4 linked regions of the Diceros bicornis minor genome follow. The main gene of each other region encodes a partner of the protein of the gene in region 3 in a complex. Links are inferred from orthologs where the notes say so. Each region holds a gene or a part of one and is shown on either strand. Other genes may lie near its edges. The genes, in order: IQCG, TCTE1, DRC1 and IQCD.

Evidence for each region.
Region 1: DRC1 (region 3) and IQCG share a complex: the UniProt entries of both Homo sapiens proteins name them as parts of the nexin-dynein regulatory complex. The link is inferred for Diceros bicornis minor from reciprocal best matches to the Homo sapiens genes DRC1 and DRC9.
Region 2: DRC1 (region 3) and TCTE1 share a complex: the UniProt entries of both Homo sapiens proteins name them as parts of the nexin-dynein regulatory complex. The link is inferred for Diceros bicornis minor from reciprocal best matches to the Homo sapiens genes DRC1 and DRC5.
Region 4: DRC1 (region 3) and IQCD share a complex: the UniProt entries of both Homo sapiens proteins name them as parts of the nexin-dynein regulatory complex. The link is inferred for Diceros bicornis minor from reciprocal best matches to the Homo sapiens genes DRC1 and DRC10.

What each region holds. Positions count from the first base shown.
Region 1 is NC_080754.1:26,646,696-26,654,253, forward strand, and holds the start of IQCG (dynein regulatory complex protein 9), read left to right. Parts: upstream 1-4,555; 5' UTR 4,556-4,606; intron 4,607-6,937; exon of another isoform or gene 6,938-7,364; intron 7,365-7,558. Other genes in the region: RPL35A (large ribosomal subunit protein eL33), read right to left, coding at 362-385, 1,707-1,851, 3,020-3,172, 3,393-3,403. UniProt on the Homo sapiens protein: Component of the nexin-dynein regulatory complex (N-DRC), a key regulator of ciliary/flagellar motility which maintains the alignment and integrity of the distal axoneme and regulates microtubule sliding in motile axonemes.
Region 2 is NC_080753.1:21,572,228-21,579,484, reverse strand, and holds the start of TCTE1 (dynein regulatory complex subunit 5), read right to left. Parts: upstream 3,022-7,257; 5' UTR 2,952-3,021; intron 1-2,951. UniProt on the Homo sapiens protein: Component of the nexin-dynein regulatory complex (N-DRC) a key regulator of ciliary/flagellar motility which maintains the alignment and integrity of the distal axoneme and regulates microtubule sliding in motile axonemes.
Region 3 is NC_080751.1:56,337,508-56,345,180, forward strand, and holds the start of DRC1 (dynein regulatory complex protein 1), read right to left. Parts: upstream 3,004-7,673; coding exon 2,849-3,003; intron 1-2,848. UniProt on the Homo sapiens protein: Component of the nexin-dynein regulatory complex (N-DRC) a key regulator of ciliary/flagellar motility which maintains the alignment and integrity of the distal axoneme and regulates microtubule sliding in motile axonemes.
Region 4 is NC_080774.1:11,198,109-11,205,282, forward strand, and holds the start of IQCD (dynein regulatory complex protein 10), read right to left. Parts: upstream 3,005-7,174; 5' UTR 2,946-3,004; intron 1-2,945. Other genes in the region: TPCN1 (two pore channel protein 1), read left to right, coding at 6,454-6,565. UniProt on the Homo sapiens protein: Component of the nexin-dynein regulatory complex (N-DRC), a key regulator of ciliary/flagellar motility which maintains the alignment and integrity of the distal axoneme and regulates microtubule sliding in motile axonemes.

The sequences.
Region 1 (7,558 bases), on a different chromosome or scaffold from region 3:
TCTGGCTTCTGCCCTTCCTGGAACATGCTGTTTCTCCATTTGTCCAAAAGCTTTTCTGAGGCTAGGTTCAAGTGCTCCATCACTATAAGCCTTCCAAGATACTCCTTTCCACTGTCCCCAAAGCTTACTTGTCCCTGTCTCCCACCACCTAAGGCCTTATTAAAATACTTACATCCTATCCTCCTATTGTCTAATGTCTGTAATTGCCATTACATGTAGCTCTCTGGCTTCCTTATACTCTGAAAATGCCTGATAAATTTGAGCACATAGCAACTAAATTTTATGGCAAAGAGATTTTTAAGCCATTTAATAAAAATACAAGGGAACAAATCCAGTTTTATTTATTTACTTTTCAATAAGTTTAAATCCTTGAAGGGTACAGCATCTGGGGGGGGAAAAAGAACACAATGTCATTAGGTGCATGTTACATACAAATTTACAAATGTTATCAATTACTACAATATGGATAAATCTCCTTCCGTTGTCCCATTACTCTTTTAAGATTTTTTATTTTTATTGAGGTAACATTGGTTTATTACATTATATAAACTTCTGCTGTGCATCATTATATTTCAATTTCTCTGTAGATTATATCATATTCGCCACCCAAAGACTAATTACCATCCATCACCATACACATGTGTGAATCACCCATTTCACCCTCCTCCCTTCCCCTTTGGTAGCCATTACTCATTTCTGAAAGGTGTCCAATGACAACTTTTATCCTGGTGGGGAGGGAATTGAGTTTTTATAGCCTCAGTCTCTAGGTAAACCCGCTTTGATTAGGAACAAGTACTGGGAGCAGTGCAAGTCCATTTAATTTTGCTTCTCCTACAGAGTAAAAACCTCCTCTGATGAGAAATCTCAACTGCTCAGCAGGGTTCAAAAGCACCCTGTGACCTCAAGAATACGGCCATGCCTACTCTAAATGAATCCTGACTAAAGAAAACAGGAGCTATTTTAGAAAATCACAGGATCTGGAGTCGAAGACTTGGGCCAAAGTCCTGGGACTGAGAAACATGAGCATCAGTTTTCTTCCATAAAATAAGGCTAATAACACCTATATTATAAATTTATTTTTTTTGTAATGAAGATCAGCCCTAACATCCATGCCAATCCTCGTTTTTTTTTTTTCTCCCTTTTTCTCTCCAAAGCCCCAGTAGATAGTTGTATGTCATAGTTGCACATCCTTCTAGTTGCTGTATGTGGGACACGGCCTCAGCATGGCCGGACAAGCGGTGCGTTAGTGCGCGCCTGGGATCCGAACCCAGGCGGCCAGTAGCGGAGCGTGCGCGCTCAACTGCTAAGCCACGGGGTCGGCCCCCAATAACACCTATTTTAACAAGACTGTCATGATTAAGCAATAGGAAAATATTAAGAATTATGCCAGGAAAACGTATGTTGAATTTTTATTTTCTAGAAAATACTTCAGTGCCCAATATCTTTGCCAGAAAACTGTTCATTTAAATGATCCCCCCCCCCCCCCCCCCGAAGCAGCTTTAACAAAATCTGAAATCTAGGCACAATCCATTTGAATACTTTGCCTTCACTTTCTTTCTAATGCCAAAAAGCTGAAGTAGCCACTAATTTTGCAGCATAACCTACAGGCGATGTTTTATAATCACAATAGTTCTTAGAGTGAAAGCCCAACCCCTTGAGCTTAGTTTGACTCAACAGAGTGCCATACTGCTAATAACTGTACTTACCACACGGATTCTGTGTCCAATCGCCTTAGCAGGAAGGTTGCTTCGGAATTTGGCACGAACCATGCCACTGTTTCCATGAGCACGAGTTACCTTTCCCCAGATTACTCTGGTTTTGTTAGGTTTGCCACCAGGAGTCACTGTGTTGCTTATTTTAAAAGGGGATTAAAAAAAAAAAAAAAGCATGAGAACCCAGGCAACAATGTGATAGAAATTCAAGGTGATCTCTAGACCAGTGGCTCTCAACCCTAGTTAACCACTTAGTCATGGGGGGTGGGGGGGGCAGGAGGAGTAGGGAATGGGGGGAATCTGGGGCATAATTTATTCAACAAATCTTTGAGTACCTACTGTATGCCAAACACTTATAAATGTAATTTTTTGTAATTTTGTAAAACACAGCCATTTACAAAACATAAACCTCTTCCAGAGAATAATCAAGTAATAAATCAGTAAATATATACAATGTCACATGGTAATAGCTACAATATTGGGGGGAAAAAAGCAAAGTGGGACAAGAAGCGTGAGAATGTTTGTGTCCAGGGAGAGGAAGGAATTTGCAATTTTAAACAGCCAGAGAAGTCCTCATTGAGAAGCTAACACTGGAACAAAGACTAGAAGATAAGGCAACAGCCTGTGTTAAAAACCTGAGGAGGTTGTGTCCCTGGCTTGTGGAAAGGCAGAAGACCCCAAGGGTGAATCCTAGCTGATCACCCTAGCTGGGTTAAGAGTAGAAACAGGGAGCCCTGAATGCCCAGGGTCTTAGGGGCTCCTTAACGACTTTGGCTTTTACTAAATGAGATGGCTAACAGTTGGGAGGAGTTTGAGCAATATACAGATGATCTGACTTATAATTTTCAAGGCTCACTCTGCTTGCAGGAGGAAAGGCAGGGCAAAGATGAAAGCCTGTCCCTAGAGATTTTAATTGGTCTGGAATGGGTTTAAGAACCCAGGATTAAGAACCAATGCTCTAGAGAGAGAACATGTTTAACCATGTATATATAACATAATTTCAAGGAATCAACAAAATGAATTAAGGCACATGGAAAGTGCCCTATAAAAACTTAGGATCATAATATGAGAACTTGGCTCCGTCCTTGAAACAATTAACAGCTGGAATTTTTCTAAGCGCAGAAGATACCTAAATCCACCACCACCCACAAAAGTTACATCCTTCTAAAACCTACCATCAGGTTCCTTCAAGACCCAAAGTAGAAGCTACAACAGTACCAACCACTTTACCAACATCTTTTGTTTATTCTTCTTTCAAAATGAAAATGAGACAAAAATCAAAAAGCATAACAATACTATAAACTTACTTCTTTGCTTTGTACACGTAAGCACATCTCTTGCCCAGATAGAATTCAGTTTCATCTCGAGCATAAACACCTTCAATTTTAAGAAGGGCTGTGTGCTCCCTCTGGTTCCGGAGACCCCGCTTATAGCCAGCAAAAATGGCCTTCGACCACAGCCTACGACACACAAGACATATATTAACCATAAGCTGTTAAAAGATCTCGTTTAACTTCAACAAACCACCAGTATGATTTGACTTGTAACGACACCTACCCAAAAGTTATCTATACCAAACATCGAATTTTTTCCCCACTAGTTTTAAGTTTACATTTAGGTTCATACCCAATAAACAAAAAACAACTACAAGTACAAAGCAATTATATTTAAAACGCGTACCTTCCAGACATACTCGTCGTTTTAGAAGTCCTGTCTCCGGCAGGCCTTAAAACAAACAATCAGTTTAAAATCTTGCAGCGCCCGTTTCCCACCTAGTCCCTCCCGTTTCTTAAACCTGTCAGGCAAATCGCTTTTTGATCAGCATGTCACGTTAAGACTATGGGGAAATATAATTAAGCCATCACATCTACACGAAGCACAGTATGGCAAGACACCCCAACCTCAGAGAATGCATGATACCTAGGCAAACTCCAAAACGGAGACAAAAATGATTGTCAACACCCGACACTAAAAGAAATAACTCTTACAAACTCCAAAAGGAAGCCCTAAGAAAATTCATGCCACGATCAGTAGAAAAAAATGAAGGCCAAGGAGTCACAGAAGCACGCAGAAAACAAGACTTTTAAGCACTGAATGGGAAAATAAACCTGAGGAGAGAGACTGTAGACAAGTAAGACAAGCTTGGAGTAGGAGCAAATGGAAACAGAACCCAGCCTAAAGGAGTCACAGCCTCAAAAAACGAGCTAGACGGACAAAGTGCATCTACTTCACTCCGCTAGGGTCCAGGAAGCAACTCCGATTACCGGAGCACCCGTTCTCCGGGCGTCAGGAGACCAGCACCATCAGCCCCACATCTCCTCCATCCTGTCCTCTCTGTTGCTGGAATCCACAGAAATCACTGACTGGCAGAGCCCCCGAGCCGCAGCAGTACCTCGCTCAGGCATAAAGTTGAGCCCATCCCAGTTATTTTCCCCCAAAGTTCAGCAACAGCAGACGCCCTCACCTCCACAGCCTCCAAGATGGCGGAAAAAGAAAGTGGAGGCCCCGTCGCGCGGCCTTGTGGGATAAACATGGGTCCGCCCCCAGTTTAGGCATCTTCCGCGACCGCCGGGGGTGGGGGGGGGGGGAAGGCCTCGGAAATCGTCTTCTGACTGAAACAAGCAATGTTAAAGAGCACTTTTAAAATTATTTCCCTAAGTCCTTTTATCTTTGTAAGCTGCAACATGTATTACTTCGGAACAGAGGAAGGCAAAGTGCTAGACAGCTAAAGGATAAGAAAAGGTGATCGTTGCCATAGAAACACCTTAGTTTGGTTCCTGTGCGTCGGGTTCTGTAGGTGGGTAAGTGAAGCCAGAGTGGCGGCCCCCCCTCGGCCTCGAGTACCCCAGATTTGATTCGCCAACATGGGGGTATCTTTCCCTCTGACCACACAGGTAAAGGCCAACGGAGATTCTCGGATCCCAGCCTGGAAGAGAAAGGCCGAGAGCACGAAGGCAGGAGGAGCTGTTCCTTTTCTTTACCTTTTTTTTTTTTTCTTACTCCTTTCCTCCTACTCCTTTATCTCTTCCAAGAAATGACTTAAGTTCTTACCTCCATCCTTCGTTTTGCCCCCGATGGTGAGGAGGACTGCCCTGAAAAGACTTTACTGCCTTTTAAAGATAACTCATTCAGCTGCCAGGCAAACTCTCGGGGCCCCCAGCACCGTGCCCACACGTAGTAGGTCTTCAGTAAGTACTTGTAGACTAGAATAAGATAGATCAGTAGACATCAGAGATTTACGTTTCCTAATTATTGCATATTTATTTGGGTTACCCTTTGGATTCATTCATTTTTTCAACAAATAGTTTATTGAATGACTGCCATGTACCATCTTTGTTCCTGGCTCGGAGGACGCTGCAGTAAACAAAACAACAGAAATCTCTGCCCTCATAGAGCTTACATCTTAGTAGGGGGAGCAAGACAATAAGCAAGTAAATGGCACATTGGAAGGAGATGTGAGACAAATTTTCTCAATGGAGAAAAATTAAGCAGGGAGGCCACTGTAAGGGAGGCTTTTACTCTGAGACGAGAAGCCATTTGAGGGTTCTGTACAGAGGAGTGACTGAGTCACTGTGTTGAGACTGAAGGGAAGCAAGGCCAACAGCAGGGAGACCAATTAGAAGGCTATTATAATGATCCTGATGAGAGATTATGGCATGTAGAGAGGGGTGATGAGTACTGAAATTCTGAATATATTTTAAGTGTAATGCTGACAGGATTTGCTGATGGGTAAGGAATGAGAGAGGAAAGAGTAAAGGATGACTCCAAAGTTTTGTGGAATAGATGTATATAAATCATATTTAAAATCAGATCCTCTTTTAAGTGCATCAGGATAGAGATTATCTACCTTAGAGCCCTATCCCCTATCCAATTTTCTCTGTCCCAGAAATATGCTAGAAATCCCACTATTAGAGATGTACTAGAAATCCCACTGTTAAATGTGCTAGAAATCCAAGTGTAAGTACTCCTGAGAAGAATAACACATTAAGTGTGAGTTTCATTCCTTTGTTCATTCATTCATTCGACAAATACTTATTGAACACAATGCCTGAAACTTAGGATACAATAGTGAGCATCATTATCAGGATTCCAGCTGTCATGGAACTTAACAGTCTAGTGGGGGAAACTGACATAAACATTACAAATTGTGAAGAGAGCTGTTGAAAAATAAGAGTGCAATGAGTGCTTGAACAGAGGAATCCTGATCCAGCCTGATGAGTCAGGAAAATGTCACTTGCAGAAGTGTCATTTAAGGCATTTTACAAACTGCAGGTGATGGCCCATTAGTAGATCATGATTATAATATTTTTTAAGTAAAATATGCTAGAACTGAAAATATCAGAATGTATCACACATGTTAAGGGTAAGTTGTTTCATGAAACTTTTGTTTCAGTTATTTGTATGTATGTATATTTATATATAAGCTATATGTAAAAATGTATGTGTGCCATTGTAGGTCATTGTATCAGTCAGTGTTGGCCTGGAAGGAAACAGTTGGCAGAGATGAAAATTTACTAAAGAGTCTGCTTACAAAGGTGTAGGCAGGAGTGAAACTATGAGAGATGATGCAGTCTCCAGAAACATGTGGAAGAAGAAGTTTCCTGAGTCCCCAAGAGACAGCAAGATGGAGAGGATTGCCTGATGGGAGCCATGGTCTTTGATAGAGAAATATAGCCGACCATTGGTGATCTGACAGGGAGGGAGCTGGGAGAATAAATACCTATCCTCACTCTCCTACACTTTGTACCTCTTTCCGGAATCTCCCGTTGGTGCACTCCATTTGGGTCAGTCTCTCAGGGCACAGAAAATGGTGGAGATTGGACCTAGAGGGGCAAATGGCAGATACCTGCAAAATGCCACTGATTTAATCTGGTACCTAATAGATCAGTGGGACTTTACAAGGTGAAAAGGTGAGGGGAAGAGTGGTTCACGTTGAAGGAATAGTGTAAGCAAAGACCCTGAGTTGGAAGGGAACATGGTTCCATAGAAGAAGTGAAAGAAGCCTATTGAGGCTGGAGCCATGAGAGCAAGAAAAAGGCAGTGCCAGAGGGATCTGGAGAGAAACAGAGGGGGCCAGATCATGTAGGCCTTATGGGCCATGTTCAGAATTTTAGTTTTTGTCCTAAGGCAAGGGGAAACCATTTAAGGGTTCTAAGGAGAGACATGATCAGATTTTCAATTTTAAAAGATCAGTCTTTCATTTATTTTTTATTTTTTAATTTTTTTTTTTGGTGAGGAAGATTGGCCCTGAGCTAATGTCTGTGCCAGTCTTCCTCCATTTTGTATGTGGGACACCTCCATAGCATGGCTTGATGAGCGGTGTGTAGGTCTGCGCCTGGGATCCGGGCCTGCGAACCCCTGGCCACCAAAGCAGAGCAAGCGAACTTAACCACTACACCACGCCAGATCAGATTTTCATTTTTAAAAGATCACCTCCAATTTGGAGCCTGTTAGAGTAGTTCAAGCACGAAACAACAGCAAGTCCATCATGGTGTTGGGGGATATGGAAATAGAAGGTCAGGTCCACAGGACTTGGTGATGGTTTGGATTGGGGGAATGCTGATCAAGATGAAGGAGGAAGCAGGAATGACCCCTGGGTTTCTAGCATTGAGGAACGAGAAGCCAGAACAGCATGAAAGCACTGGATACTGCGTAAGCATTGCCCTGTCTTACCTCTGGGAAGCACATTTACCTATGCCCCAAGCCTAAAAAATGCAAAAATAAAGAAACGACAACACAGCAAGAGAACAAAATCTTCTTAACACCGCGCTACTTCCTCCTAAGACTCCTAAGACAGAAAATTTGGCTAGTTTGGAGTATCTTTTTTTCAGTTTACGTAAAGATTA
Region 2 (7,257 bases), on a different chromosome or scaffold from region 3:
CATGCTGTGTGACCTTGACCAAGTTACTTAACCTATCTGAGCTTCAGTTTCCTTATCTGTAAAATAGGATAAAATAGGATAAGCCTCCTATGCAGGCTGTTGTGCAGAAAATATCTGAAAAGAATACTGGAGTGGGTGTGTGGAGGATGAAGCACAGGGGTCTTAGGCTGGGGAGAAGACACCCTGGAGACCTGCTCCTTGCACGCGGACCTGAGATGGTATCTGTGAGCGAGGCCCTTCCCTAGCTCTCGGGGAGATGTGAAGGGCAAGGTGGCAGCGGTGGTGTTTGGGTCTGGAGAGAAGGACAGAGGGGCCTGATAGTCTGGGCAAGAGAAAGAGCAAAGAGGCAGCAGGCCAGCCCTGCTCCTGCCAGCTCCGTATCTGGGCTCCCGGGGCTCCCTCCAAGTTCTGACCTAAAACATTCGAGCATTCCCCTTGGTCCCAGATGCATCCTAAGTCACCTTGCGGGCCACACCCAAGGGAGCAGAACCCAGCTTGGCAGGGGGGCCCCAGGTTACTGGCCGGTGCTGCCCTGGAGCCGGCTCTCCAGGCCTTTCTCACAATAGTGCCCAGCCTTACCATCCTGGTAGGTGGTCCCTCTCCTTCCTCCTGGGAGGCCACATGTTGGGAAACCCCACCTGGGGACAGGCGGATGCTCTCTGGAACCGTGTGGCCCTGGTCTCACTGCCTAATGAATGCTTCACAGTCTTAGGACCTGGCTTCTCTTCCTGAGAGCAGCTGTTGCTGCTGTTGGGAGCTGGCAGCCTGCCTCTGGGTAGGACATTGCAGGACCCGCCCCAGGGTAGGTTCCAGGGCCCTGAGCCACCTCCTCAGAATGCAGGGCAGAGCATCCCTCCGTGTGCTCCACGTGCATGGCGCATGACTGGCATAAAAAAGAGTCCCTTCCGTCCTGCAGTGTTCACGGAAACCTCCATACCACGAGGCCTGACGTCACTTGTCAGGGAAATGTTGAAACCGTTAACCTCCTAATGTCAGAGTTGATAGTTTCACTTAATTACTTCTTGATTTTTTAAAAATAGATATTACAAAAATATTTTTGGCAAGCAAATTATTACTAGACACAGAGGATTCTTCTAAGGAGGATTTTAGTTCCAAATGTTTTTTTAAAAACATCTTTTTTGAAAAACTAATAAAACATCAAACAAAATATATTTAAAAGGATAATGAGTAAGATGAACTCCTTGCCCCCCTGTTGCTAACGTTATAAAGATGATGTCAAGTGTGGCCCGGTTATGAGCCTGCCCCCTGCCCTTCTCAACTGCTGCCCCTCTCTCGGCTCTCCTCCTGCCTCTCCCATCATTCTCAAAAAGTCTGCATCGCAGGATCCTCTCGCTCTGGCCTCCCGGCTCCAGTTGTGGTCCCTCAGGGTTCTGTTGGGAAGCCCCGCCTCACTCCTGTTGATGGGTTGCAGCTCTCACCTCCCCTCTGAGTTCCAGACTCAGCTCCACTGGCATGCATCCCGGCTCCCTCAAACTCAGTCTGCCCCCCAAAAGAACTCAGTGCATCCCCAAGCTGCTCCTCCTCCTGGCGCCTTACCTTGGCCAGGGGCATCAGGATGCTTCCGGGTGCCTGAAACAGAAGTTGGGGCATCACCGCTCTCCTTCAGACCCCCCCATCTGGTTACTGTTGGATCCCCTCCGTTCTGCCTCCCACCCCAGCAGGCCCTCCTCTCCCTTCCTGCTGCTGCCTTAGCTCAGGGCCTCATTGTCTGCCTGGATCGGAGCTTCAGCTGTCCAGCACCTGGGTCTGTCATCCAGTGTGGTCCTCTCACATCTAGCCTTCCCACAGCGGCCACGGCAGGCCACCGTGCGAGCTCTTCGGTGGCTCACCAGCGCCCACTGGGTACAGCCCAGCTTCTTCAACTCACTGTAGAAGGTCCTCCCTGACGTGATGCTCTGTTTGAAATAAACTCCTCTTTGCTTCTGGAACACTGCCTCTGGCTCATGTTGCCCAGCCTTTGCTCAAGCTGCTCCCTCTGCCTGGAATGCCTTTCCTACCATCTCAGCCTGGGAAAGGGACCATCATTGGTCTTTTGAGTCTGAGCTCAAGCATCACTTCCTCTCTGAAGCCTTTCAGCCCTTCTCGTCCCCCGTCCCCCAAACAACCCCTCCTTTGGTCAGACCCCCAGGACCTGGGTCACTTCAGTGATCCGATTGACCACCCTCTCCCCACACCCACACTGGACTGTGAGCTCTCAAGGGGCAGGGGCTGTTTCTTACTCATCTCTATCTCTAATCCCTCTAAGCCCAGCGTCAGGTCTGCTTCAGGTGAGGTAGCTGGTGTTTTGAGCTGCCCCAGCCCGTTCTCATAATAGATTCTGGCCAATAGGAGTATCCTGTGTTGGTCAGAGCGAGTGGTCCAGGGGTGGCCGCCTGATGCAAACCAAACAGTCCTTCTTGGGATTTGTCCAAGCGGAGGAAGACAGAAGGACATATGTCCTTGAAGGATATGGATCCCCTGCCTCGGGAAGCTATATTCCTTCACAGGGAAAAGGCCTGTCTGCAGCAGGAGGGAGTGAAGCCTGGTGGAGACAGAGAGAACTCCCGGGTACCTTCAGTCCCCAAGGCCCCCAGAACTGCCTGCTTCCTCAGCGGCTCCTTCGGTTCTCAGACCTAACTTGGCAGCCTTCTAACAAGTCCCTTTTGCTGAAGCTAAGACTTGGGTTTCTGTCCCTTTGTGACCAAAGGGCCCTGACCATTTGGGTAGGCTCAAAGTTTGGTGAATGAAATTACGGGAAAAGTCTTAAATCAGTAGACAAAATAGTTCAATGGGTTGGCCGAAAAGGGCCAAAGGCCCAGGTCATTATACACAGGGCCTGACACCTCACTCCTGTGGCCTCTCCCTCTCCTGACCACCCTGAGCCTCCTGTCTCCCCTCCCATCTCTCCAGCCTTCGGACAGTATCAGCACTTACGTGTGCTCAGCACTTACGTGTGCTCAGCACTTAACAGTCACAAGCTCCTTTCAGAACTCTTCTCATTTGAGCCTTACAACCACTCTACAGTGGAGGCAGGGATGGAGAAACTGAGGACCAGACCAGGAAATGACTGGCCTAGGACACGCAGGAGGGCTGGGCGAGGGCCTGAGGGCAGTGTCCTGCCTCCAACCACAGTGCACTGCTCCTCCCAGTCGCCCGTGTGTCCCCCTCCCCACACTTTCCCACCCTCCACTAGAAAAGAAGAAAGCACGTTCCTGCTCCCTGGGAAGCAGAGCTCCTAACATAAGGCTTTCATCCCTGTTACATTAAAATACATTCCCCCCTAAAAGAAACGAAATCTTAACATTACATACATGTGTCTGTGGATATATCCATGTTAACTTCGAACTGCTTTTTAAAAATGCATCTCATCATTTTAGGTCAAACAAAAGCAGAGTAAATTATGAAATATATACTGACACTAATGTAGCAAACTTTAAAAAAACGTAGAAGTCATGATATATATTATTCTTTGACAGTTTAAGTGTACAGAAATTTTATATATATATATCCCCTCTCATCAGTCATCCACACCTCAGTGTAAATGAGTTTCAGATCCAATAAGCAGAGTTAGGAAGGGGGCAAGGAGAATGTACCACTGAGTGGGGAGAAGGTGGGGAGGGCCTGCAGGAGGATGAGGAGGCAAGAGACCTGAGATAACTCCACCTGCTTCCCAGGGTGGCCTCAGTCTGGCCTGGGCATCACCAGTCTGCAGCTGAGGGTGGTGGTAGGTGGCACTATCTTCCCTGGAAGCCTGTGGGGAGGGTAGCCAGGGGCCCAGGGGCACCCAGACAGCCCCCAAGGGCCCTTAGAGGGCAGCCCCAGAAATGGCAGAGCAGTCACCTTCCTTTCTGGAGCCCTCTCCCTGGGGAACCCATGAGGCAGTCAGAGAATCCCAGAGTCTGAAGACTGGAAGTGTGTTCAAGACTCTGGTCCTTCTCCAGGGCAGGAATCCTCTGTGACATTCCAGAGAGAAGGTCCGGGCCATGAGGAGTGAGTGCCTCTTGGGCCACCACCTGGTGTCCCCATCGAAGGGCACAGCCTGCCCTCAGATGGGGAAAGTGGGCATGTGCCCAGTGACCTTTCATCTCCGGGCATCTGTCTCACGGGCCTGCTGGGCTTCACATGCTATGTTTCCAGCATCAACCTAACCCAATCCAGGACCGCGATCCCTGGGAAAGGCCAATCCTCCTTCCCCCAGGTCCCCACTCTGTGTCTTCAGGCCCAGGCCATAATCACATTCAGGCCATAACTCAAAGGGTTAGGTGTTAAGGTCTGCTCTCTACATGCCCAAGCACAGGTCATATAAAGTTACGGGAAGACCCAGTTTGGCCAGGGTTGTCTTCATTTTTGATGGCCTGTGTCTGGGGGCAAGTATTCTGGGAACCATACCCTTGCCTATATACAGCTACAATTTATTGAGTTCTAGGCCCTCAATAGTGTGTGCACAGCAGGAGGCAGCGGAGCAGCTCACTAAGGAATCAGGAGTTATACCACCTAAGGTCAACTCTCCACTCTGCCCCCAAGCATCTGTGAGACTGTGGCCGAGTCATTTCATCCCACTAAGCCTCCGTTTCTTCATCTGTAAAATGGGGATGGTAAATAATGGTCCCTACTTCATAAGATTATCCAGAGGATTAAAGGAGCTAATGTGTGTGTGAGACATTTCATATAGTGCTGGGCCCAGAGCCAGCATGCAAACTACGTGAAGATGTTAGATGCCTTACCTACGAAAGTTCATTAAATCTTCAGATTTATTATTGAGGATTATTACTGTTATAACACTATTATCCCCATTTCATGAATGAGGAAACAGAGGCTTAGAAAGCTTAAGTCACTTGCTAAGAGCCACATAGCTAGTGAGCGGAGAAGCTGAGGTTTGAGCTGATGACTGTCCAATGCTCTCCCTTACTTCCATCACAAAAGCATGGACAAATAATAAGATGTTAAGGTTTCTTCCTAAATTGCCCCTGACTCGGTCGGACCGCACCTCTCCAGTGGGCCTCCCACTTTCTCCAGCTCATGAGCACGCTCGTCACATCACCATCGTGGAGCCCAGGGTTACCCCTTTGTGCTGACCTAAACAGCCCAGAGTCCCCCTCAGTCACTGCCAGGTGCGGGGTCCTTCCGCAGAACTGGATCATCGCCTGTATCCTTTGACTGGAGGCCCCATGGGGACCCAAGAGAATACTGCAGAGCTGTGCTCTCTTGCCCCATGCATGGCTCATGCCAGGCCCCCCATGCTGTCACAGACCTAGGAGTCAGTGCTTGAATCTCTAGCACATTCCCTCCTCTCAGAGGAGGTCTCAGATCTTCTCCACCCTTCTCAAGTCTCCAGTTAAATCTAACCACTTTGGACAGAGGCTCCTCTCATCTGCCCAAATGGAAAGGTTGAAGATGCTGGGGAGGAGCCCTCTCCCCTTCCTGCTCACCACATCCCTGGCCCTCAACTGTCCTCACCTCCCTTCCTCTTAACTGAGAAGCTGAAGCGCCTGGCTCTCTTGAGGCCGTGAGCACCTCTGTGTCCCTGGGTACTTCCCTCTGGGCTGGCTCAGCTTTGATGGGCTACCCCCCAGCCTGCTGTCCACCCACCTCTCTGATTGAGCTTCCTTTGCCTTCTCAGCCAGCTTCTTCTTCACCCCAAAATGACCTAAGGAAAGCCCTCCCCAGGCGTCTGTCCCAGGGCCGGGGGCTTTTGTCTACATCTCCTCTGATCTCTTTCACGCCCACCATGTCAGACATTACCTCAGGCCAAGTCACTCCCAAATTCCCATTTGGGAATTCCCAGTTTGTGGAGTCACAAAAGAGGGGCAAAAAGTTTCTCTGACAGATCCCAGGCCCAGCATGCTGGTCTTGAACCCAGTGGGACAGTCAGCACACTTATCACACCCATGGGCCTGGCCCTCCTCCCAACTCCTGCCCACTTAGGTCTGTTGTCTTAGAAGGGACTCCAGCGGCTTCCCTCTCCACCCCTCACCCCTACCTTCGGCTTGGACCCCCCCAGCAGGGAAGCTCAGCTCCAAAGGCGAGTCCTTCCCCCAGCCCACCTGTGGTGAAGTAGCCCTGGCTGCACCTCGGTTACCAAGGCTGCACCTCCCTGCTGTGGGAGGGAGGGAAGGTGCGGGGGCTTCCGGACCTGCAGGAGGAATTGCAGCCCGAGGAGCTAGGGATGGGGGTCAGCCTTTCTTAGGAGACTGCGACCCCCAGTTTAGGACTGCTCTCCTCCACGACCTTCCCCTTCCTCCTTCTCACGGTCCCCCTCCCTTTACTCGCAAACCCTAAGCCTCTGCACCACTTTCCAGACAGTGACGGTAGCGGGGGAGGGCGCTGGGGGGCCCGGGTCCCTCCTCAAATGGGTGGGGTGGGAGCCTCCTGGAGGTACAGACCGGCCCTTCCTCGCCACACGAATGTGGGAGCCCAGGCTGTGGCCCCTGCGGGCTGAGGGCCGGGTGGGCTGATGGCGCCGGAGGGGCTTCCGCGCCCCGCGGCCAGGAGTGGGGGCAGGGAGAGGTCAGTCCCAGGGGAGACCCGGGGTTGAGCGTCCTCTCTCCCGGAGTTGTCTCACCCGCTCCCAGTGCCAGGGCGCTCGCCTTCCCGCAGGCCCCGCGCGGCCTCCCGGTCGTTAGGGACGCCCCGCGTCGCCAGGGGGCGGGGCCGAGGGCCGCTGTGCACGTGCGCGTGTACGCCCGCGCGTGCGCCCGCGTCTCAGCTGTGTGGCGTGCAAACACGCGGGGCTCTCCTTCGACGGTTGTCGCTAGGCGCTTTGGCACAGGGTTGACGCAAGGAAGTTTCCATCTAACGCGCTATGTGGGGCCGCCGTGTGGCAGTGGAACTCTGTGGCCCTGGGGCATGCTTTGTGCTCTTGGCGGACCTTTAGGTATGGATGGGCTTTTGTGGGGGAAAGTGAGGAGTGGGGGACCCCGGCAGGGCTCCTAGACTGGAGTGCTGTTTCTTCTTGGTACCTTTTGTGTGGAAATGGGGGTGGGAGGTGTGAATGAAAGACAAAACAGGAAAAGCATCAGTAGTCAGTCTCCTCTGGAAGATGAGGGTGGAAAGGACCCGCTGGAGTTACTGGAACTCCCCTGAGGCCTTCTGTTGACCCCAGGCCCTGCAGGAGAGCCGTGGGCGAGGGTGTCCCTGGGGAGTGGCACCTTGCACCTTTCTCCAGGATGTAAACAAGGCTGACACCTGGCACCAGGCAGGAAGCTTCCAGGCTCCACTGCGCTCCTTAACACAGCCCTAAGCCTGATGTCAACCTAC
Region 3 (7,673 bases):
AAAAGAGACATGACATAAACAACAAGAGCCCAGTTATTGAAAACACAGAGAAACCGAACTTGAGTTATTTCAATTCTATCATTCTATATGCAACTCGTTCTCTAAACCTTGCAGAATTCATTCTTTTGGAAACATTTCTTCATATGATTTCTTCCTTTTTTTCCCAAAAATACATTAATGTAATTTAAAAGTATTGATCCATTAGCTTTTTCTTGTTTTGTACTGTAAATTTTATTTTAAAAAATTTTATTGGCATGGTTATATAAACAAAGTTCAATAAACTTTTCTTTTCAGGCTATTATTATTATCTGTACTTTAAAAATTACCTGCTCCAGGTGTTAACTTCATTAGGTACACCACTGCATCTCACAGATTTGTTTTTTCACCAGCATCAATTGGCCATTCTAACCCCATCTTCATATGACAGAGATGACCCTTTGTCAATGTTTCCTCTGCTATCAACTTCTAAATGCTGGGCTTTTTCGGGGCTTGGTCACGAACTCTCTTCTCATCTCTTTTTATCCTCTTTCTCAGTGTAATTTAATTCAGTCCCATGGTTTTAAATACAATCATAAGGCTGCTGACTCTTTGCACTAATATCTCTAATGCAGAATTCTCTTCTGCATTTAAGACCCATATCCAGCTGCCTATCGGACATCTCAATTTTAATGTCTTACAAAATCCAACTTTGCTTAATATGTTCAAAACCAAACTCTTGATTTCCAATTCCAGCCTCACTACCCCCATCACTGTCTTTACCCTCTCAACGAAAGGCACTACCATCTACCTAAATGCTCAAGCCATTCTTGCTTTTTCCCTGTCTTTTACCAGCATATCCAATCAATCAGTAAATCCAGTCAATTTCAACTCCAAAATATGTCTTGAGTACATCTGTTTTCTCTCCAAACCCACTGCCACTAACTAGCCCAGACCAACTTCATCTCTCACCTGGACCAATGCAACTGCTTCCTAACTAGTCTCCTTACTTTCACTTCTGGCTCCTCCAAACCATTCCCCAAAGAGCCACCAGAGTGATCTCAACATACATAGAAATTTAAGAAACTCCCACATTAGGTCCTTGGTCTGTAGGTAAGAGCTATCATGGTGTGGAAGGCAAAATGGGCCCCTCCGAAACTGCATTTGAGTGCATAAAATAACAATATCGCAGACCAGGGGGATGGTGGGGATTAGTGTCACCCTTAAAGATCTCAAGGATGCAGGAGTGGTGGTGCCTATCAAGTCTGCATTTAATTCACAGGTCTGGCCCCTGCAAAAACTGCATAGATCTGAGAAAATTATCGTCAATTACTGCAAGCTCAACCAAGTAGCAGTCCTGATGGCAGCTGCCTTGCAAGTGCCATGCAGCCTTTACTAGAGCAGATCGGTGTGGCCTTAGGTGCATGGAACGTGGCCACTCATTGACCAAATGCATTATTTTCTACCTCAATCAGGAAAAAGGATCAGGAAGTTCCCATTTACATGGAACAGATAATAATATATACTCACATAGCCCTCACACTCACAAGGCCATGTTAATTCTCCCGATCTCTGTCAAAATATAGTCTGAACAGATCAGGACCATCTGGACATTCCACAGAATGTCACAGTGATCCATTACATCAGGGTTGGCAAACAACAGCATGTGGACCAAATCTGACCCACCTGTTTTGTATGGCTTACAGGTGAGGATTTTTACATTTTTAAACGGTTTTTTAAAAAGATCAAGATGAATAAGCAGAGCACAGAGGATTTTAGGGCAGTGAAACTATTCTGTATGATACTACAATGGTGGATACATGTCATTATATATTTGCCAAAATTCAGAGAACACCGACAGTGAACCATGATATAAACTATGGACTTTGGGTGATAATGATGTGTTAATGCAGATTCATCAATTGTAACAAATGTACCACTCTGGTAGGGGATGTTGATAGTGAGGGACATTAAGCATGTGTGGGGGCAGGAGGTACATGGGAAATCTCTGTACTTTACCTTTAATTTTTCTGTCGAACCTAAAATTGCTCTAAAAAAATGAAGTTTATTAATGTAGAAACAAAATCGAAATATGAAGAATATTTTGTGACACGTGAACATTACATGAAATTCAAATTTCAGTGTCCATGAGGAAAGTTTTGTTGGAATACTGCCATGCCACTTTGGGCCCCTTGTGTCCGATGGCCAGCAGACAAGAAGAGAAGTCCCATCTTGGCAGCGCAGCTGACCCTGACCAGCAGGACAAGGTATAAGTGCTGTTACACAGTGAGAGTGTTAAGGAATTCAGGGGATCACGCAGTGTCTCTTGGTACCCCATTATGACAGCCCACTGTGTCTGCGAATGGACAAGGGCAGCAACTCTTGCCTGAGAAGGGTATGGTTATCAGTCTCAGACCCTTTGGGAATGAGGGTTTGTGTCCACAAGCAGATAAGCCACTGAGACCAGCAGAAGTGGTAGCTGAGGTCCACTGGATACATACTTGTGGAAGGGAGGCAGGCTGGGAAGGAAGGAGGAAAGACAGACCCCTGAGGGCTAGTGGTGGATCTCCTGCATCTTCGGTGGATTGCCCACAGTGTCTGGCACGGCGGGCTCTCAATAAAAGTGCAGACGGGATTATTATTTCCGTCTTTGACTTTACTAGTGTGTTGAACATTCTAATATCCCATACTTTACTTGAACCCTCTGGAAGAAATGTTTTCCATTTCATCAATCAACAAAGCCCGCTCACATTTGGGGCACGCCGAGCCCTCCCACAGGGGCGCCCGCCCCGGGAAGCCATGCCCTCATGCCCCGCACTGCGTCACCGGCACTCCAGGCGCTCCGCGGTCGGACCGCCCAGACCCCGCTCACCGCCTCCGAGCTTCCAGGCGCGCCGCGATGCGGAGGCGCCGGGCCTGGATCCGCTCCTGAGGGTTATCAGAGTGTATCGAGGGCCCGAGAATCGGGGTCGATAAGTGTTCCTCCTCCTTCTCCTCCAGCACCCCCAGCGATCCCGGCGGATTCATAGCGGATGCCTCCCGCCCCCCAGGCAGCCCCGCCCCACCACCGCCAGACCGCAGCCCCGTTGGTAGCAACAAGCCGTTGCCAGGGAAGAGCAGTCACGTGACCCGCAGCTGCAGTGATTGCGCGCGCAGCTCAGGCCCCGCCCACCGGCATTCCGAACGCTGTAGCGCAGATTCGGGTTTCGTTCTCTTCTGCAGTTGGGATGTAAGTACCGTCTTGAGCCCCCACCAAGGCCCAGTCGTATTAGCGGAGCCTGGAAGACTGAAGAGCTGGACCAAGTGTAGTTCATCACTTACTCACCCCGATTATTAATTCACCATTCATTCATCAAATGAATATTCCTCAAAATCATATTCATCAAATATAATTGAGCACCTACTCTGTGCCAAACTGTGCTAGAGCTGAGGATACAAGCGTTGTCCTTTCCTCATGGAGGGTGCAGAATAATAGGTCTACTCTGAGCCTATTGCCTCTTCAGATACTTTGAACTAAAGTATATTGTATACATCTATTCGTCATCCATTCATTTTTGAGCTACTTTGTGCATTGAGCCCCTATCTTTTCTAGAATGTGCAACCACTATCATTAAATTTATATCCAGCAAGGGATTGTTGTCTTCTGTAGCCATTTTCAGTAGGGCTGAAACCTAGGAGAATCCCACCATCACCACTTCCAATCACACGCTTATACACAGAGGAAAATAGTGAGGGCGGGGATGGGCGGTGGGGTACAAATGAAAGTTAAGAGCGCAGAAGCACAATTAAACTCTCAAAGAAGCACCATCCCTTGAAAAAGCACTATATCCTGGGCGTTTTTTGTGTCTCATTGCCAACAAAAAAGTGTTCTTATTGAAAATTAAAACCCTTTCAAAAACAAACTGGATAACGTTTGACGGAGTCTTGTCACACTGTCCTGTGGGAAACTCGGGAAAGGGCGCTGGAGCAGTGAGAAAATGCAGGTAGTAGTCCTAGACCTGCCCTGCAACCTCAGGTAAGTCGCAACTTCTTGAGGACCATTTTCTCAACTGTTATATGGTACCATCTGCCTACTCAACTCACATGCAATTGTGAGGCCAAAGAAGATAAGCTCTTTGTGAATAAGACCTACCCAGAGTCAAATGGAGTACTTTTTTTTTTAATTAATTTTTCCAAGTCTTCAAGTGGTAGAGAGATTTAGGAGTGCCAAAATCTTGCAGCAGCCGAGTCCAACAGCTGCCTGGATCCTTGTCCCATATCTAGCCCAGGGTGGGGGAGGGGATGTTTGCTTCAGGGTCCTCTGCCAAATCTCTCTCTTCTGGCTGTAACCTCAAGCGTTAAACTTCCCTAGGGGCCATGGAATCAGAGGAGCAAGGTATAGTTTTGACCTCGAACTCTTCAAGGTTCTGGTCTGTGTTTCTACCATCTGTGAGAAGAGAAACAAATACACGTGTGTGTGCATGTCTATGGCTGGGAGCAGGATACCCTGAAAGTCAGTGGGAACCAGCTGTTACACCACAGATAGGTGAGAGAGCAGGGGTGCCACAAAACCCATGAAAAGTGATCAATGAGATACTCGGCCTTAGAGCTGTCCCCAGATACCTTCATTCCAGACATCTTTTGTAATGAATCTGACTCTTTTTTTTTTGCTGTTTGATTGTTGACAGCTTTTAAGCCTCACGCCTTTCTTCCTCTCTGCTCCAGATCCCGGCAGCTGATTAAAAGAAAGGAGGGAGGGGGCCTGGGTGCTCTCTACTTTGGCGCTGGCAGGAGGTTCCAACTGTGTGAGCTGGGTCCTCTCATCCCAGCCCCCACCGCCTAACCACAATGAAAGCCTCAAGACAGTCTCCTTTCCTGGCTCTCTCCAGCCATCTTCCAATCAGCTGGGACGTCTTCCTTGCTGTCACAGACAGCCTCAATTATGTAAGTAATAAAGCTTATTCATAGGTGTGGAAAAAAAGACACTCTCATTCACTGCTGGAAAGGCGTCTTTTAGGAGGACAGTTTGCCAATATCTGTTAACAGTTTAAATAAGCATATGCACTGACTAGGCAATTCTACTTATAAGAATTATCCTTGAGAGATAATAGGTCTAGGCTATAGCTCCATGGGGTCAAAATGACATCAGTTTTAGTCAGTACTGTATGTTCAGCACCTAGCCCAATACCTGATATGTAGTGAGTGCTCAACAAACATTTGCTGAATGCAAGAAATGGACACAAATGTATCGGTATGCTCACGGCAGTTATTACCCAGTTATTAAAAATTTATTTTATTAAATTTTTATTAATATTTATATTTATTTACAATAATTTGTATTAATTAATCAAATTTATTATCGTTATTAAAAAACTGGATATAACCCAAAATCCATCAACAACAGAACTGATAAAGCATTCATAGGATGAAAAACAATGCAGTCACAAAGAATGAATCTGACCTAGAAAGACATCCAAGATCTATTAAATGAGGAAGGAAAGATGCAGCACAAAGTGTAGAGTATGATCCCAGTTTTATTTGAAGTATATGTAGTATGTACACAAGAAAAACAGGGAAAGAACACAAAGTAGTTGATCTCTCTAGGGGTTGGGTCTATGGGTGGTTTTCATTCTCTATTCAAAAAAAAAAGTTTACAAAGAACACAAATCACTTTTGATGTAATAAAAAATAAAGTTTATTTATTCATTTATTATTTTTTTAAAGAGCAGTGACAGATCCTGAAGAGACTGCAGCAAGCAAGAGTAGTAGGGCTGTCACGGATGAGAGGAATTCGGGGAGGGATGTCGCTGAGGATTCACTAGCCTTCAGAGACTAGTCCTCATGTGGCAGGCAATTCTCCAAAAGCAGACCTGCTTTTGAGAATTGACTTATGCTAATACACTCATGAAAGAAAAATATATAGAGAATACACTAATTTGAGCAAGAAACTACAACTGACACACAGAGCATATGTGTTTTATGACTGTGACCAGCACATCTCCATGGCTGATCTACAAGGGACTCAAACTATAATTGGGAAGCTTCTTGATAATGGACAACAGACTGTGACAGACTCAGTGGCCTACAATGGGTATAACTTGCCACAAAGATTAGACAGGTCAAGTCCTTGAGGCATGGCACCCCCATGCCTCGGTAAGTTTTGGGTGATACATGCAAAACCTCCTGGCTATAGGGGCTTCCTTTGCTATGCTACAGGCTGGCCATCTACTTCAGCTTACAGTCTTTTTCCAGAAAAATAATGATACATTGGTTGGATTTTAGCATGCTACGTCAAGTCGCACACTTAATTCTACATCCATAAGGTTACATCAAATCACCTTAATTGGGGTTTGAGGATTCATCAAATATTTACATAATTTCTTGGTTTATTCCTATCTCCTAATGTGTGTGAATTTTACTAATAGATTCTCAGAAGGCAATCTTATTTTATTCTAGTTATTTTTAGAACTGCCTCACCATCATCTTCCTGTATTGCCTACAAAAGGTATGAAGGAAGGAACAGAGAAGGGAGGAGGAAGGAGGAAGGCAAGTCATGAGCAGGTCATAAGGCTGAGGAAAAAGTTCAAAGGTAAAAAACTGAGAACTAGGTATTACTAGAAACCGAGCACCTAGCTTAGACTACTCCTGTGCTGAACACTCTACATGCATTCTTCATAACACATAATTGTAGTAATATTCCTAATCCAATTTTACAGATGAGGAAACTGAGGCTTAGAGAAAATAAGTCACTTGCCCTGGGTCAAAGCTTGCAAAGTTGAACATGACTAGGAAATAGTCATTATAGTAAAGCTTTGGGAGGTCTTGAAAAACTTTCAGAAGAAAAGCAAGAAGAAAAATGGAAGAAGCAGTTATAAAGTTTTCTTTCAGAAAATTTGGAACAGAAGAAACAAGATGAGAGCAGGGAGAGAAGCAAGACACTTTGGGGCACAGGGTCTAAGTTTAATAGACCCAAGTGTGGTCACCTAGTACGCACCTGCAGGGTGTCAGGTAGGCGTGTGAGGTCTGCAGAGAAGGGAGGAACAACTGCCAGGGCAGCCAAGGGGTGGGCAGGGGATTAGGAATGGCCCGCCAAGAACTAGCTTGGGTTAAATATGGGACATTTCCTCCTCCACCTTCTTCAAACCTGTTACAATTTTTTTAAATGTCCACTGCCAGAACTGGGAGATCAATTCCGATGTAAAAAATAAGAAATATTCTCCTCGGAAGCAATGTTAGAAAATCAGAGTTTTTATAAGAGCTTATGGTTTACATACTGTAGTTTTGGTGTATTAAGTGTGGGTTAGTAGGTTCTTGTAGAATTAGCCTGGAAAATGAACTCTTTCTATGGGAAAATGTTTCTTGAGTATGAAACAACCACCTTACAAACTATTTAAGTGTGATCCAGTTATTATGACCCAGTATTATTACATATTGCCAGGACCAGTTCTGGGGGAGTTCGGAGCAGTATATTATGAATAGCTGTTACTGCCGCCTGCCTAGTACCCTGCTTTCTGAAACAAATCACAGGACTATGGAACACCCAGGAGCAAGCAGGCTGATCTTTATCTTAAACAAAACAAAAAAAAATCCTTTAATTGTTTTGCTCTAAAATAATCAATGATTCTCTGAGACAAGTGGCTGGATGTTAATTTTCTCCCCATAGGTCCCTCCCCTTTTGCACCTACCAAGGAAAAACAAAGACGACAATCCGAAAACCA
Region 4 (7,174 bases), on a different chromosome or scaffold from region 3:
CCACTTTATATGTGGGTCACCGCCATGGCATGGCTGATGAGTGGAGTACGTCTGCTCCTGGGATCCGAACCTGCAAACCCAGGCTGCTGAAGCGGAGCACACCAAACTTAACCACTATGCCATGGGGCTGGCCCCTCAATTTTTTACTTTCAACTTAGTTGTGTCTTTGAATCTAAGGTGTGTCTCTTACAGGAAGCATATATTTGGGTCTTGCTTTTTTAATCTGGTCTGACAATCTCTGCCTTTTGATTGAAGTGTTTTTTTCCATTTACACTTAATAACTTACATAAAATTATTCATATGGTTGGATTTACATCTGCCATTTTGCTATTGTTGTTTATTTGTCTCATTTCATGTCTTTTTTTGTTCCCCTGTTACTTCTTTACTGCCTTTTATTGTGTTAAATAAATATTTTTTAGCCCACTGTTTTGATTCCTCTGTTGATCTTTAAACTATTTTTTTGAGTTATTCTCTTAGTGGTTGATTTAGGGATTATAATGTGCATCTTAATTATCACAATCTATTTTAGAATAACACTAAATATTTTCTATTTGATGAGTCATTGTTATCCTACTGTTTTTTAATTCTTTAAACATGGTTTCCTTTAGTTCTTTGAATGTATTTATAATAGCTGCTTTGAAGTCTTTGTCTGCTAAAGCCGACATCTGGGGACACACAGAGACAGTTTCTATTGATTGCTTTTTTCCCTGAGGATATTTACATTTCTTTGTTTCTTTGCACATCTCACAATTTTTGTTGACTACTGAAAATTTTAGATAAAATTTGTAGCAACTCTGTATTTCAACTTTTTTTCTTCCTAATGATTGTCGTCCTTGTTACTGTTTTGCTTGGGTGTTTGTTAAGTTACTTCCCGGACTAAATCTGTCGAGTTGGTCTCCTCCACAACGTGCGGTTACTGATGTCTCTGTTCAATTTTTTTTCTCATTTTTATTTCTAAACCTGGCTTCCTAGGGGTCGCCCCTGTATCTGCATAGCTTAATATTCAGCCAAAAATTGGTCAGAGGTTGTGCTCTAACACTTTGAGCTAGTAAGGCTTCTGTTCTCTGCTGGTGAGTGCAGTCAATGTTCAGGTCATTTTCAAGTCTGCCTTGACTCTTAGTTTCTGCCGGACCCCCCTGTGTCTCCTCTGCTCGTCTACACAGGCTCCACTGGCCAGGGATGTGTAAGTGGCCTGGGCTGGTCTAGTCTCTACTACACATGTGCATAAGCCCTGGCCAACCAGAATATGTAGAGAGCTTATCAAGCCCCCTATGGCTGCCTCACTTCCCAGGATTCTAAGCTGTCAGGCCACTGTTGTCCCCAAGTAGGACTGCAACTTTGGACTTCTGGAGCTGCTGGCTCTCCCTGATCTCTTGCCACCAAGACTGCCAGTTTAGCCAACAATGCTCCAAATCAAGTGAGCCCCATCAGACTGGTTTTCATGGGCTACTCGCCCTGGTTGAACTATTATGCAAATAGAACTGGGGGTGGGGAAACTGGAGAAGCCCCAGGTAAGTGCATCACAAACTTAAGGCTCAGAAGTTTTCACGAATAAATGCTCTGTTTGTTGTATGCCTTTGGTTGATTTTCAGAGTGCTAATATAGCGCTAGATAGTTTTGTTCAGCTTCATAGTTGCTTTTTCTTTATTGTGGTAAAATATACATCATATAAAGTTTACCATTGTAACCATTTTAGGTGTACAGTGCAGTGGCATTAACATTACATTCGCATCTTGTGCAACCATCACCACTGTCCATCTCCAGAACTTTCTCATCATCCCAAACTGAAACTCTGTACCCATTAAACACTAACTCTCCATTTCCCCCTCCCCCCAGCCCCTGTCAACCACTATTCTACTTTCTGTCTCTATGACTTTTGTGTCTGGTTTCTTTCACTCAGCATATGTCTTCAAGGTTCATCCATGTTGTAGCATTTATCAGAATTTCATTCCTTTTAAAAGTTGAATAATATACCATTGTACGTATACCACATTTTAGTTATCCATTCATCCATCGATGGACTATAATTGCTTTTTGAGGAAAAGATTTGTCAACCTCCTCATTCCATCATTCTGGAAGTGAATCTCCACAGGTGTCACTTTACATTTATCTGTATATTATTTGACTAATGACTCTCTCCCACATTAGACAAACTCCATGGGGGGGAGAAATAAAGTTTTTTATTGGTTGCTCTACCCTTGCACCCAGTAGTAGGCACTCAGTAAATACTTGTTGAATATATGAATATGTAAGATATGGAATACGATAACTCCCTTGGAATTGTTTTAAGCCAGAAGAGTCAAAGATGGGTGAGTTTTAGAAAAAAATTGCTACTATTAAATGAGCACTTACTATGTTGCTGGGCTCCATGCCAAGCTCTCCATTGCCTTACCTCATTCAGTCCTCACAACAAACCCTTTGTCTTAAGTATGTGCAACAAAATCACATTTTAAGGACAAGGGTGGGAGTTAAACTCTAAAGGCAAAAATTGGTATAATCAAAATGACCTAACTTTAACACTCACTCAAGTGAGATGCCTTTCACTGCACGCTCATGCTAGAATGTCTGGCCGTTGGGTAGAGTGGTAGGGGGCTTATAAACTACCCTCTCACCCCCACCACCTATGTTTGACTTGAAATTAGTTAACTATGATGCGACTCCATCTGACTAGTATCACCCACGTTTTACGGACGAGGAAGCGGGACCATGCAGTGGACACGCGGACGGGCAGGCGAGAGGCAGAGACACCGAAGAGGGTGTCCAGTGGTCCTCGCAGGCGGTCGAGGGGGAGGTCCAGACAGAGGCAGGGGCTGGAGAGCACGGTCCTGGGGCGGGGACAGGATCGCCTTGCGGGCTACGGATTCTTCAGGGAGCCAAAGGATAGCGGGTAGACCCCATTCCACATCTCCCCGTCATCTCTAGCCCTTCCCCACCTGGTCACTCACCTGCTCGCAGAGCTCCTGGTTTCTCTACCCACAGTTACCTCCGCGGTACCTGCGTTGCTAGGTTACCCACCTCGGAAGGCGGGACTCGGCGTCTGACTGACTTTCCTCTTCACCATTCAATTCCTTGTTCCGCCCAGTTAGCCCCACCTCCTGAGGCCTGACCAATCAGGAGCACCGTCTCTCTGACCCTCCACCAATTGAAAGACCCGGGACGCCCTCTGGGTTGGGCCGAACGAGTAAGGCGGGGAGCGCAGAAGGGGAAGGGGCGGGGCTTCTTTGTCCCGCCCCTTTACAAGGAGGCGGGTAGGGAGTCCTGCCTCGGCAGCGGGCGAGAACTGGAGAAGGACGTGAGGCTTGGCCAATCAGAGTTCACCATGGCAGCCTAGGTAGCCAATAGGCCGTGGCGGAGGGGAAATGGGGCGGGGCCGCTGGAGTTGAGGGGACGGTAGGAGGTGGACGCGAGAGCTGGCGCAGCTGCTGTGGTGGCAGCGGCTGAAACGGCGGCGGCTGCAAGAGCTCCGGGCTCGCGGCTTTGGCGGCGGCGGCGGCGCCGGCGGGCTGGGCTGCGCGGTGCGGACCCTGGCGCGCGGTCCGGGTTGCTGGGGCGGCGCGTGTAAGAATCCGAGTGGGACGGGGGCTGGGCTGCCTGAGAGGGCAGGGGTCAGGGGCCAGAGGGCGCGGAGTAAGGGGTTGCGGCTGGGCGCTGGGGTGTGGGAGGCGGGCTGGGCGGGCCCAGAGGGGCTGCGGGGAAGTCATCGCTGGGCTTCTCTCCCTCCAGCCCGGGCCCGGGCTTTGTACCCCCTCTGCTCGCCCCCTGGCTTCCCGGGGCGACCCCCACGCGGGGCCCAGACCGGGGCTGGAGCACGTGGAGCCGGAGCCCGCACTTCTCTCCCCGCTCCTCCTCCCTCGTCTGCTCCTCTTCCTGGCGCCCTCAGGCGACCCAGCCCGCCAGAGACTCGTGCCCCGGTCAGGCTGCTGGCCCTCTTTCCTGGGACGTGTCCCCAGGGGTGACCCTTCCCTTCTGGGTCCTCTAGAGAGCCAGAAGCAAAGCCCGCGGAAGGAACACGGGGCTGGGACTCAGGAGTCCTGCACTGTGTGACCTTGGTCAAGTGGCTTGTCCCCTCTGGGCCTCACTTTTCCCTCTCTGTAACACGATGGGCTTGAATTCAAATTGGGAGCCTGTTCCTGGGAGGCGGTATAGGGTCCAGCCGGGAAAGGTCCCTGAATTCATCTGTTCGGATTCGACTCTGGTCTCCACCACTTCCCTGCTGTTTACCTACAAGAGGCAAGTTGAGTTATCTCCTCCAAGCCTCAGCTTCCTCATCTGTAAAGTGGGGATATTAATGAAATAGGATTTCTGAACAGCAGCACTACTGACGTTCTCAGCCACATGTTTCTGTGTTGTGGTGGGACTCACCTGTGCATTGTAGGATGTTCAGCTGGGTTCCTGGCCTCTCCCTCTAACCCCCCCACCCCCAAGTTGTGACAATCAAAAATGTCTCCATATGTTGCTAGTGTCTCCCAGAGTACAAAATCACCCCAGTTGAGAGCCACAGGGCCAAGACAATGCATACAAGCAGTTATATATTAAACAGTTAAAATGAAAGCCACTAGCCGTTATGATGATAATGATCAGAAACCTCTTCTTGAGTTCAGACGGTTAATAGAGTCTCCTGTCCTCAAAATAAATTCGAGAAAGAATGACAAAGATATTGATAATTGTCAAAGCTGAGTGATGGATACAAAGAAATTCATTTACATATTCTCTCTACTTCTGAGTATGTTTGAAAATACCTGTGGTAGAACGTTAAACCAAGAAAAAAAAAAAAGCCCCAAAACACGTAATTCTTAAGACAGTCTAATGGTAGTGTCTCATTTGGGGTTTCCTCTTCTGTCTCCCCACAACTGAGATTTAAAAGCAGAATAGGTCCCCAGATCTGGAGGAAATGTTAAAAAATCTCACAGGAAGTTTGCGGGGCTGAGAGCTGCAGGCTTAGCAGTAAAGGGAATGGTGCTCACTTTTGCTACCTTGTTTTGAGAGGATGTTGATGCACAGGGGTCTGCTTGGGGTTATTCTGATGATTTGTGGAAGAGGTCAATTTCCAGGTGGCCATTCAGTGGGCGAGTTGGGAGGCAAAGTTGACTAAGCCCAGAAGGGTCCAGCTGGAGGAAGGAATCTGCTGCTGTTTTCAAGGTCAAAGGTCTGCTATCAGATCTGCTGAGTCTTTGCTTTTCTTTTGGCCCTCCTCAGCGGAAATGGGAATGTGTATAAATAGGACCTGTAACTGCCTAGTTCTGAGCGTTTTCAGTTGAGAGTTCAGGATGAGCGCTTTTGCTGTGTGACTCTGGACATCATTTAAAAAAACACTCTTGTTCTCTTCGCCCTCCTCCTCAAACTTCTAAAGATTTTTATTTATTTATTTTTTCCCCCCAAAGCCCCAGTAGATAGTTGTATGTCACAGCTGCACATCCTTCCAGTTGCTGCACGTGGGACGCGGCCTCAGCATGGCCGGAGAAGCGGTGCATCTGTGCGCGCCCGGGATCCGAACCCGGGCCGCCAGCAGTAGAGTGCGCGCACTTAACCGCTAAGCCACGGCCGGCCCTCCTCAAGCTTCTAAATCGAGGAGAATAACACCTGTATGAGAAGGCTGTGGGCGAGCATAGATGACCTGGCACCCTGCCTCTTTACGGGTCATTGGGGCGAGGTGCTGCCTGAACGCCAGGGCTAGGACTTGGAGGAATCCTAGTGTAGTGGCTAGGAGCTCGGGTCTGGAGTCAGATTGCATAGTTCAAAGCCTGACTTTATAGCTGTGGGTTCTTGGGCAAGTTACTTAACTTCTCTGAGCCTAAAGTCTCCTCCCCCTCTGTAATGGAGGATAATAATCCTACCTGTCTATTAATAAAGTTTCAATCAGCTTTACTTAAAAATTGCTGTAAGAATACCTGGTACACAGTAAGTGCTCACTGAGTATTAGCTACTATTATTTTAACAGTTGTATTTTTTTAAGTCTCAAATCTTTACAAAACTCAAAACACCAGTGTAAGGTGGGTGGAGGGGGAACATAGCCAGAATCTGAAGCTCCAGACATAATTACCCCTAACTTTCAGATTTTGTTCGTGCAGAGTTTTTCCCCATATTTTAATGCTATTGTATTGCAATATTTTTCTTTATTTTTTTGAGATATAATTCACATATCATAAAATCCACCATTTTAAAGGGTGCAATTCAGTGGTCTTTAGTATATTCACAAGGTTATGCAACCATTGCCACCATCTAATTCCAGAACATTTTCATCAGTAGTGGTTGTATTCTGATAATTGTCTCTCTTTCTTTTTCATCTGTATCTCTCTCTTTATCCCTGTCTATCTTTTATTGTCTAGAAGATGTCTCTAATGGAGGAGTTTCTGAGAAGCACCTCTGGGCCAGTGGCTTTGAAAGGGAGCTCCAAGCAGAGGCTGTTTGAAGCCCTGGACATCGCATCCTGAGGGCTGTAGGAGAAGAGAGCATATGGCTGTGAGTTTGGATGACGACGTGCCCCTCATCCTGACCCTGGACGAGGGTGGCAGTGCCCCACTGGCTCCGTCCAACAGCCTGGGCCGAGAGGAGCTGCCCAGCAGAAGTAAGACGTGGGGTGGGCTGGTGGGGGGCAACTTTTCTATTTCAAGGGGCGAGTTGTGGGCGTGGTGGTCTGATAGTAGATGTGTGTACCCTAATTCCTGACCCCACATTTGGCTCCAGGTTCTCACAAACTACTGGGAGACTGTGGGGTCCTAATCCCAGCTTCTGGATGCTTCCGGGGGCTGCTCTGCCCTCCCGGGGCCCTCGCTCCCATCAGCGCCTTGCCTCCCTGGCACCTGAGTACCCTGGCTTTGTTCGGGGATGCTTGGCGGGGACTTCAGGTTAACCTGCTCCCAGGCTAGGTTCCTTGCCCAGGAACTTCCCTGCCCAGTTCCTTGTTAAAAAAGGAAACCGATTTCAACACCCGCCTCCGTCTGCCCCAACCTGAAACCGTTGGCAGGAGAGTGGAGTTGACTGCTGCTTTCCGTTGGAGCTTGGTGCCTGCGTTGCCAGAATGGGGTGGAAAGGGGCAAGCCTTTGCCAGGATCCATTGATTTGAGGGTTTGGGGTTTTGCTTTGTCTTCCTCTAAACCAAAGCCTAGCACAAAGGGAACCCAAGAGAGGTTGCGAGCTTTAAATTTTTAAAATTTTAAATGTGTTGCTGGCAGAA